3 linked regions of the Daphnia pulex genome follow. The protein of the gene in region 1 purifies or fractionates together with the protein of each later gene. This does not show direct contact. Links are inferred from orthologs where the notes say so. Each region holds a gene or a part of one and is shown in the gene's direction. Other genes may lie near its edges.

Evidence for each region.
Region 2: the proteins of renin receptor-like (region 1) and coiled-coil domain-containing protein 115-like purify together in Homo sapiens (affinity purification with mass spectrometry; 3 studies listed by BioGRID and IntAct, counting the BioPlex papers as one, with this or other methods). This does not show direct contact. The link is inferred for Daphnia pulex from reciprocal best matches to the Homo sapiens genes ATP6AP2 and VMA22.
Region 3: the proteins of renin receptor-like (region 1) and V-type proton ATPase subunit F-like purify together in Homo sapiens (affinity purification with mass spectrometry; 3 studies listed by BioGRID and IntAct, counting the BioPlex papers as one, with this or other methods). This does not show direct contact. The link is inferred for Daphnia pulex from reciprocal best matches to the Homo sapiens genes ATP6AP2 and ATP6V1F.

What each region holds. Positions count from the first base shown.
Region 1 is NC_060018.1:1,924,267-1,927,908, reverse strand, and holds renin receptor-like, read left to right. Parts: upstream 1-1,349; 5' UTR 1,350-1,446; coding exon 1,447-1,492; intron 1,493-1,550; coding exon 1,551-1,678; intron 1,679-1,813; coding exon 1,814-2,122; intron 2,123-2,183; coding exon 2,184-2,351; intron 2,352-2,413; coding exon 2,414-2,494; intron 2,495-2,565; coding exon 2,566-2,680; intron 2,681-2,744; coding exon 2,745-2,824; 3' UTR 2,825-2,983; downstream 2,984-3,642. Other genes in the region: methylosome subunit pICln-like, read right to left, coding at 303-376, 459-524, 587-748, 853-998, 1,081-1,199. UniProt on the Homo sapiens protein: Multifunctional protein which functions as a renin, prorenin cellular receptor and is involved in the assembly of the lysosomal proton-transporting V-type ATPase (V-ATPase) and the acidification of the endo-lysosomal system.
Region 2 is NC_060024.1:10,425,584-10,428,309, reverse strand, and holds coiled-coil domain-containing protein 115-like, read left to right. Parts: upstream 1-1,479; 5' UTR 1,480-1,617; coding exon 1,618-2,091; 3' UTR 2,092-2,169; downstream 2,170-2,726. Other genes in the region: growth hormone-regulated TBC protein 1-like, read right to left, coding at 30-299, 395-628, 785-951, 1,013-1,044, 1,185-1,201. UniProt on the Homo sapiens protein: Accessory component of the proton-transporting vacuolar (V)-ATPase protein pump involved in intracellular iron homeostasis.
Region 3 is NC_060026.1:16,025,152-16,028,012, reverse strand, and holds V-type proton ATPase subunit F-like, read left to right. Parts: upstream 1-1,438; 5' UTR 1,439-1,548; coding exon 1,549-1,599; intron 1,600-1,672; coding exon 1,673-1,754; intron 1,755-1,824; coding exon 1,825-1,907; intron 1,908-1,967; coding exon 1,968-2,090; intron 2,091-2,150; coding exon 2,151-2,180; 3' UTR 2,181-2,324; downstream 2,325-2,861. Other genes in the region: eukaryotic translation initiation factor 4B-like, read right to left, coding at 1-172, 233-349, 424-593, 667-804, 1,076-1,088. UniProt on the Homo sapiens protein: Subunit of the V1 complex of vacuolar(H+)-ATPase (V-ATPase), a multisubunit enzyme composed of a peripheral complex (V1) that hydrolyzes ATP and a membrane integral complex (V0) that translocates protons.

The sequences.
Region 1 (3,642 bases):
AGAAAACCAATGCTTTCTTTACTGTGGCAGCGATATTTTTAAGTTAAAGATTATTAAACTTGTTTTTTTTGTCACACATACAGTTTTTTTTTGCTTCCCGCTTAAAATCTACACATAATATTGGAGCGGGCGCATTCTTTTTTTTTAACTAACCGAGAATACTCGCGTTCATGGCAATCGAACAGTGAGGTGACACCAAAAATTGTTTTACATTAATTATCTCCTATGCTTTGAAGTTTTATTATTTAAAATTTCAAAGAAAGCAATAGTAAGTAAAGCGTGAATAAGGGAAATATGTGCGGTTAATGTTCAGGATCGGCATCTTCAAACTGACCCATGTCTGACTCCATGTTCTCCGCCTCACCATTATCATGATCTTACGAACAATTGAGGTGCACATTGAGAAAAACAATAAATATTTGTCGGATATCAATTAAATGAAATTATATCAGATTTACCATTTTCAGCTGTTTCTGCTCCATCAAGGCAATATTCTCCTTCCTCAGTATCTTCAAAATCTCCTTCTAAATAAAAAAAAAAGTTAATACAATAATCTGCAAAACTTTTGCCTTTTGTCAAATATTACCATCTGAAATTGAATCATTAGGATCAGGATGGAGTGTTTGACATATTGTCATGGCATGGTACATGGCATCAAGAAGTCCCCGATCTTCTGGAATAAACCTTACTTCAGACATATCAGTTTCAGATTCCTCATCCTCAGAATCTTGATTATCTAAAGCTTCATCTTAAAAATATAACTTTAATCAGACAAACCTGGAAACATGAACACATCTCACATAACATTTTCTCAAATGATATTTTAAACATAAATATAGAATTGGGTATTACCGGGTTCATCAAGCCTTGAATCCAACATCAAGTACAAGCATTCCTGTGGAAATGCAGAAGGATCTTTTGAAACAGCATGTAACGATATGTGGGGGTATTCCAGCGAAAATCCCTGGCCAGATGTGGCACTAACCCATGATACACGACTAAATGGTTTGGAATAGGTAAAATTATTTTTCCGTGACTCTTGTAATCGAAAACTTAAATAGAATATAAATATAAATTAACCTTTCTGCAATATATAATGTTCCTTGGCCCAAGTCTCTGGTGTTGATGAAAGCTCCAGTATTAGGCTGAACTAATTTGATTCCTTCGGTAGGCGGAGGAAATGAAGATAATACAACCATTTTTTAAGAAATTTAACGAATTCAGAAAAGAAGAAGAGCAACAATTTGAAAATGAAATATGATTCGAATCACGCTGTCAGCAGCACAACGTTTTAAAAAAAAATTGTAGGCTGCAATGAAAACGTCATCTAGGGACTAAATCATGAACCACGAACACATCACCTGACTTTAGCTGTCACGAGACTCGAGACTGTCAAACTTTTTCTAAAGGCAATTGCAGCTGCTGTTGACCAGACAAGAAGGCAAGATGAAAGTGGCATCAATTGTCGGCGTATTTTGTCTATTAACCTCAGGTAATTATTTTCTAGCGATTGAAAACTACAGCTTTTGAAGTGTTTTGTTGCAATGCAGTCCTGGGAAATGGAGAGTTCAGCATCTTGCACAGCCCTAATGGAGTCAACTTTAGGGGAGATGAACAGCTGAATACAAGTGAATTGCCAAAAATTATTTCCACTGCAATGGGGCACACAACACCTTTTGTAAGTTCTTTCATTCATTTATAACTTTGTAGATTAGGAACTATATGTTTGGTTCCAAACGAAGGAGTGATATTGCAACTTGATGTATCTATGATGAAATCAGTTTGAAGCAATACCATTATTTGCTGTTTTCAGGGTGACTCGTGGAATGGACTTACAGTCTTGAATCCATTTAATTACCCAGAAGTTTCAGTTGCTGTTGTTGTTGAGGGTGTGCAAAGTCTCCAGTTGAGTGAACCCAGATACCCACTAGAGATCACCTCTACTCTTGATCAAGTGAAGGATGATTTCACTTCTATTCTAGGCCAAGTTGTATTTGACGAAAATGACTTATATTCTGGTGAAACCCAGAAGATTTTGGCACTTCAAAAGCTCAACAAAAAGGATGTTGCTGTCTTGCAGTTTCTTAAAGATATTGATGTTTTGATGGATTTAAAACATAAGGTATTTTCATTAGTTAAAAAATAGTGAGAGGTTTTTACACACAATACATTATTTTCAAAAGGTATTGGCAAAATCCGTCTTCAAGACTGTTTGGATCCGCCTTAATGGTTTGGATGATATCATCAGTGTCTATGGTCAAGACTCTGAGCAAGCTTTGGAAGCAGTTACTATTTTGAAATCTGCTCTCGGCGAGCTTCAAGATGCACTAGAAAACACTTATGGCGATCGAGTATGACACAGTTATATTTGAATTCGAAAAATTTGTGTGTAACAATTTTTGTCTTTTTATAGTTTATCCTAACTGCCATAACCATTGAAAGACTTCGCCTTCGAGAAAAGAGGTCTACGACTTCGAATGCCAAAGCAAATAGCGTATGATTTTTTAAAATTTTATTTTCAAATAATAGTCGAGGGTTAAAATAACTTTATCCTCCTTCTTTCAGGAACTGTATTGGAAGTTGAATTTATCTAAACGCTATGGATCGGATTACTCATCCATTTTTAATATCCTTTTATGGACATCCGTTTTCTTGATTGCTGCTCTTATTTCCACCGCTGGTAATTGATTAATCTGAGTTCGATTTTTGCAATCTGCCATAACATTATCCCTTTAATTTTTCAGTGTTTATTTGCACACTCGATCCTGGTCGTGACTCCATCATCTATCGGATGACGACACAGCGCATCAAAAAGGAAAATTAGAGAAGTCACATTCCGATTTATTTGTTGGCTTGAGCCTCACTGATAATAATTTAGCGTGTAAAAAAATGTTACTTTGTTTGGTGTACATTTTCTAGCTTTTCTTTGTTCATGTCGTAGCCATAACTGTTCGTTCTGTGTGTGATTACACATTTAAACGAAGTTTTGTTTTCCCGTCGAGTTGAGTGCTTTTTCGATGATCCGAGTCATCGTCCAAGTAAGGAAATATTAACATTCTCCTCTGCTGTGTAACTGATTGTGTTATGGGCACGCGACATCCGAATCGCTCTCCTCTCACTTTCACCACGGCGTTTTGGAGAAAGGATTCTTACTATCTCTAAACGAGTTTCCATCGAGAGCTTATTTTGGTCTGTAGCGTGTTATTAAAAAAAACAACGTGTTTTGTATTCGTCGGATGCTTTCTGCAATCCCTTGGGCTATGTCCTACTTTTGCGCAGTAGTATCAGACTTTTATCATGAGCATCTACCATGGACAATCGATAGAAACGACTGGTCTTTCTCCACATTGATAATAACTCAAGTACCTTGGGTAAATAACAAAAACATGAACAATCGGCCTCGGGTATCATTAATCACTGTTATCGGTCACAGAAATACAGAGAAACGAAACGCTATCCCCCCCCCCCCCATGGAATCTCTAGTTGGTAAGAATGGAAAATGTTGTTTTAATATTCGGAATATTTAATCACGGAAGACTGGCTCTTTTTTAATTAACCATTATTACGCTCAAGTTGCGAGTTGACTTGATAGTTTTCATGACTTTTCCATGTCTAAGGGCCCGCGTAGACAAAGAAGATACT
Region 2 (2,726 bases), on another chromosome or scaffold:
AAATGTAATAAAAAGTGGTAAAAACTAACCTCAACGGGCAGAACCTCGGCATAGAGACAAATAAACCATTTGGTGACAAGAATTGGCCAAGGAAGATGAAGATCCTTTAAAAGACGGTCAAGTTTAGAGGATTTTGAACGGACTAGTTCCCCTAATACGGCGATGTCAGTAATTAAGCCTTGCATATTTGATGAATAGTAGCTCGGCAAGATGTTGCGAATAAGGACTGTTAAGAGCCAGAAAGACTGTTCTTCATCCTTTGTTGCTATAAGCAAAAGACCAGCGACATAATTCAAACCCTGCAAAACATAACCAATACCAAGCCAAAACTTAAATTATGGAAAAACTTGTATGCGTCGATTGTGTAGTATATTAATAAAAAATAAATAAATACCTGGCAATATCCAACTGAGGTATTGTGTCTTGCACTTGCTCGTAATATGTTGTATAATGAGTTAAGTTTACCATCGGAAGATGGTACAAAATAGATGTTGTCTGGATATGTTCGGTTGAGGTCGTTTTGTATGATTTCATCCCAGTTTTGATGGCTAGTGTCACTTATCAAGTCTTGGTACAAATTTGGTTGACGAGACTTCAAGAAATTTGCTCCACTTGTCATCATCCAAACCTATAGAATTAAGTTTTATCAATCAAATTTTTATGTTTTTTTCAATTAAATCAATGTTTGTTGCAATAAACATTTGTGCATAAATATTGCAGCAAATGATACAGAAAGAAATATCAAAAGTAAAGAAGAAGAATTTCCCTTTATATTTATTCATACCTTTCCTCTAAACTGTGCTGGAACCCCTTTCCTTACAAATCTTTTCATTGTTCCACCATCAGGTAAGCTCTGCTGGCTTAAAATTGAATTCCATCGCATAGACCGCCTTGTTAAAATTACCATGTACCTTGACATGAAGGTCTCATAGGCTTTATAATCAAAATCATCTACAAATAAAAAAAAGTTACAAAAGGACGAAAAAATACTAATTATGATAAACTTTCAAACCTGGTCTCTCAAAGCCATATTCATCAACTTTGCTGAAAACATAATGAATGGAATTGTAATTTCATATAGTTCAAGAAAAGGAAAGCCATGCAAAAAGTATTGCTCCAATTGAGAAGGTCACACATATTTAAGGCAAATATAGGGCAGTTCAACACAAGGGACAAGACTTCACCTGAAAGAAGAAATCATGGTAAATGTTGAAGAAACCCCCTTCCAATCATATAGAAATCAACGGATGTTAAAAATAAGAAAGACAAAAAAATCCACTCGTGGAATTTAAAATTAAAATAAAACGTCCACAACCCAACACAGAAACAAAAAAAAAACACTTCCACTTTCGCTATAAATTTCTCGAGGCAGCCGATTTAGGTATGTTTACCAAATAGTCTCGCCACCTGTTATCAATAAATTAAAATGTTCCTGTTACACAAAATATGCCAGAAGTTTCGTCTGCTTCCACGAATCGATTAGAAATTGTGACACAACGCCAATGATTCACAGGAAGTATTAAGTGCTTATTCATCGCAGAACATTTTAGTCGTTAAAGTTGCCTAAGACTAAGACTTGCCTATCAAGATTCTTATTCGTAATTTGTTTTAGCCACGATGGAACACAAAGATACAAATGCCAGTGCCCAGCTAACTCAAGTGTGTGAATCTTTAGATGAACTTACTTTGAAACAAGTGGATTTAGTGGATGAACAATTGGTTTTGATGTCGAAACTAAGTAGCCTTTTGACTGGCGGTTTCATTGATATGGCAAAAAGTCGCTACATCAGTGGAGAGAGAACAGTTTCTACTACACAAATTCCAGGAGAAGACAGTATTATTGAAGCTGTAACGACAGTCGATCGTGACAACATGAACAAGCTAACAGTTTCAAGAAACAAAGAAGTGAATGACCCAATCAAATGGTTTGGTGTGTTGGTGCCCACCTCTTTGAAGCAAAGTCAGCATGCATTCCAAAAAGTTGTAGATGTTGCTGTAGAAATTGTCAACATTCGTAGAGAATGGCTGCAGTCATTTGACACTTTGGAGGAGGAGTACCAAAAACTTTCTAGTTTAAAGAATTCCACATGAATGACTACCCATTTATGATTGTAGAAACATGTCATACACCTATACCTAAATCTAAAATGTATGTCCATTGGCAGATTCCTTAGAATTTATTTTACTACTATTAATGCTATGTTAGGTTATACATTTTGTATCAAGAAACAAAATTTTCACCTCAGGCATACAACTTCTTAAACATAAGGCTTCCCATCATACCAATTTAAAAGATAAAGTAAATGTCCAAGATAGTTTTGATTATGTATGACACAGGGGATGTTTGTTAAGAGAATTATGAAAGATTCCTACAAGTTGAGATGGAAGGTTTTACTAAAAAAAAATTTCAGCATGCTTGGAATTTATCAATGGAACTACATTCTACATTGTCTAAAATTCTGGAATGATTCAGAAAAGTGCACTGAAGGCTAGAGCTGATTGTTATCCCAAAAGCTACCAATGCAAGGTAAATGATATTTTAAAATACAGGAAGACATGAGATGAGAAGACGAAATATTACTACGATGACTATAAAGAATGAGAACTTTTAGAATAGGTTGTTCCGCGCATAATGGTACATACGGAATCTGAAGATCAAACAAAACCAAACTCATTTAATGGAAGAGGAAACTAATACTGGGATGCCAGGTCTAAAGTGGTCAGTT
Region 3 (2,861 bases), on another chromosome or scaffold:
GAGGAGGTCCCTCCCTTGGTGCATTACGCCAATCGGAAGGGGTACGATCTTCCCTTTCCTCGTCATTGCGAGTAGGACGGCCACGACCTCGCCCCATACCGCCAGCGCCCTGTTCTTGATCACCATCTGCGCCGCTAGCAATGTCCACTCGGATTTTGCGGTTCTTAATCATCTGCAAAACAAGGACAAATGGAAACACTACAAGGTCAAATAGAAAAATTTGCAAAATTACCAATTCGTTCATCGTAAGGGCGTCAACTAAATCTTGCCTAGTTTCAAATTCAGCATAACCAAAGCCTCTCAGTCTGCCACCATCACCACCTTCTCTTGGCAGACGGACAGATTTAACCTAGGTAACCAGAAAAAAAGAGTATGAAATATCAGTAGAGAAAAAGTTGCTGTTGTGAAAGCGCAATTTCTTACCGAAAGCCCATGGAAGAACTTGGATACATCCTCTACTTCAATATCATAAGGTAGATTGGCTATATAAGCTGTGTAAGGTGCATTGTTGGGTATCCTAGATTCATCAATGTCTGATCCCCTGGCTGCCCGTGGTGCTGTGGGCAACAACAGCTTCTCCTTGTAAATCGCCTCTACAAATAAAACAAAAAATTACATTGTTGATACTCAATATGTCAGCGTATTAAAACAAAATATTTGACTTGCCATCTTCCATTTCATCAGCCCAACTGGTTTTGGAGGGTGCCATGACGACAGCTTCTCCAGACCTGGAACCTCCATGGTCGTCAGAGAGGAACTCATTCAATGACAGGACCTTTCCTTTGGATTTCTTCCCTTTTTTGGCTGAAATTCAACAGTTAAAAATTCACATCATTATTCAAGGCACCATTTTTAATAATCTATACACGACAAATCAGAAGCGAACAAGTGCCACATGTGAATTTAACCGGAAAGATTTCTAACGTCACTTTATCCGATTGTTACCACAAAAATAAAAATTACTCCACGACGTAGACGAAATTATGGAAAACAATTATTCGACATCACCGGTCTCTTTATCGAGCTTAAAACAGTAAATATCAAGAAAATGCCACGAGGAGAAATTTTTCCTTACCGGAAGCAGCCATGATTTTTTCTGAATGCACTCGTCAGTGCGCGGACTACTAGAGCTAGAGGACGGGACTCGTTGGACAATTCTTATGTTTGTCACGTAATTTTTTTTACACAATTAAATCATAGAAGTTTAAAAATCCTGTTTCAATTTTGATTTAGTTTCAGTATCTAAAATGAGCAGTTTACGAAATATTTGTTATTTAATATTGGTTGCCGAACCCAAGCCAACAAGTTTTCTGCCTCGAATATCTAGTTGCCGAAACGAATGTAAATGTAGTTGCCACCAATCTACACGAGGTGGCGTTGGATGGCTTCTTCTGCTGCTATCGATTAATAAAATGAATCGATTCACGATTGAAAGTCGGTGTGTTTTTTTTTCACGAGTCATGTGACAGTTCCCTTTTGACTAGAAACTAGAAAGAGAAGTCTTAGCTCAATTCACTTTAGTTCTCTTTCAATTTACTATACACAAAAATGGCCATTGCTGCAGCGAAAGGAAGGCTTATAGCCGTCATCGGTGATGAGGTAAATATATTAAAAATGATTTTATCGAACTTCATTTGGTTTCCAAATTTTAAAAAACAATGATTAATTGCAGGACACTTGTGTTGGATTCCTTTTGGGTGGCATTGGAGAGATGAACAAAAACAGGCAGCCCAACTTTATGGTCGTAGACAAGAGTACGAAACAACTTGAGATTTTGAGGTGGGAGAATGAAGTAAAATTTTCTCCTTGTTATGCTTCATACAGATACGAGCATCAGCGAAGTGGAGGACTGCTTCAAGCGCTTCCTCAAGAGAGATGACATTGACATCATTCTCATCAACCAGAATGTGAGTTTGAATGGAATGAATTGATTACGTGTTTGCTCACTTCCTCGCTTAATCATTCAGGTAGCAGAGATGATCAGGCACGTGATTGACAACCACAATGAACCAATTCCAGCAGTGCTCGAAATTCCTTCCAAAGATCATCCTTACGACGCGTCAAAAGATTCCATTCTCCGTCGTGCCAAGGTGTGTTTTTATTTTTAATTCAATAATCACTGATCAAATCATTTCTTTTCGTTTTTCTAGGGAATGTTTAGCGCCGAAGACACCAAGTAATAAAAGTCCTACTGCCATCGGCGCGTAGAATATATTCCCCAATTAGTTTTTGTTTGTTGTTGGGTGTTTTTCTTTCTTTTTCCTTGATGCATTCCTGTCCAGTCTTCATTGTTAATTGAACCTTAAATAGAGCAATCAACAGTCTTTTATGTACACAACTTTCCGCTCCGGCAATCGATTGAAATTATCGACCCCCTCGTTTCCCCAAAAAGAAAGTTTAGCCAATTAGGAGATTCACGTCAGAAAAGATGGGGCCAACTTGGGAGATCTTTTATCAATCAGCGCTTCTTTGTTGGGAGGAAAAGTAAGTATAGTACGTAATTGGATTTTTTAGCCTGTTGAATATTTTCTTTAAAAAAACCCAAATTTGTGCAAGGAAAAAGATTTTGAAGGAAGTTTAGTTGCTATGACACCTGCCAACGTGATCATCAAGCGTGATAAGATGTAACCAATTCCTGTCGAAGTTAAGACGGAATCATAAATTATTTTCATCTTTTTCCACTTGATTAGATAGAATCCTCCGGAGGCCAGACTAAAATTCTTGAGAAGGATCACAAAGGCAAGCGAATCCTCAATCCAATTGTGTCCAAGATTAGATTGAGGGTTATTTATCAGTGCGAAAATTTCCAGAGAGTGGTTCTGAATTATTGTGTAAGACTGGCGTCTGCGCACTCGGTATTC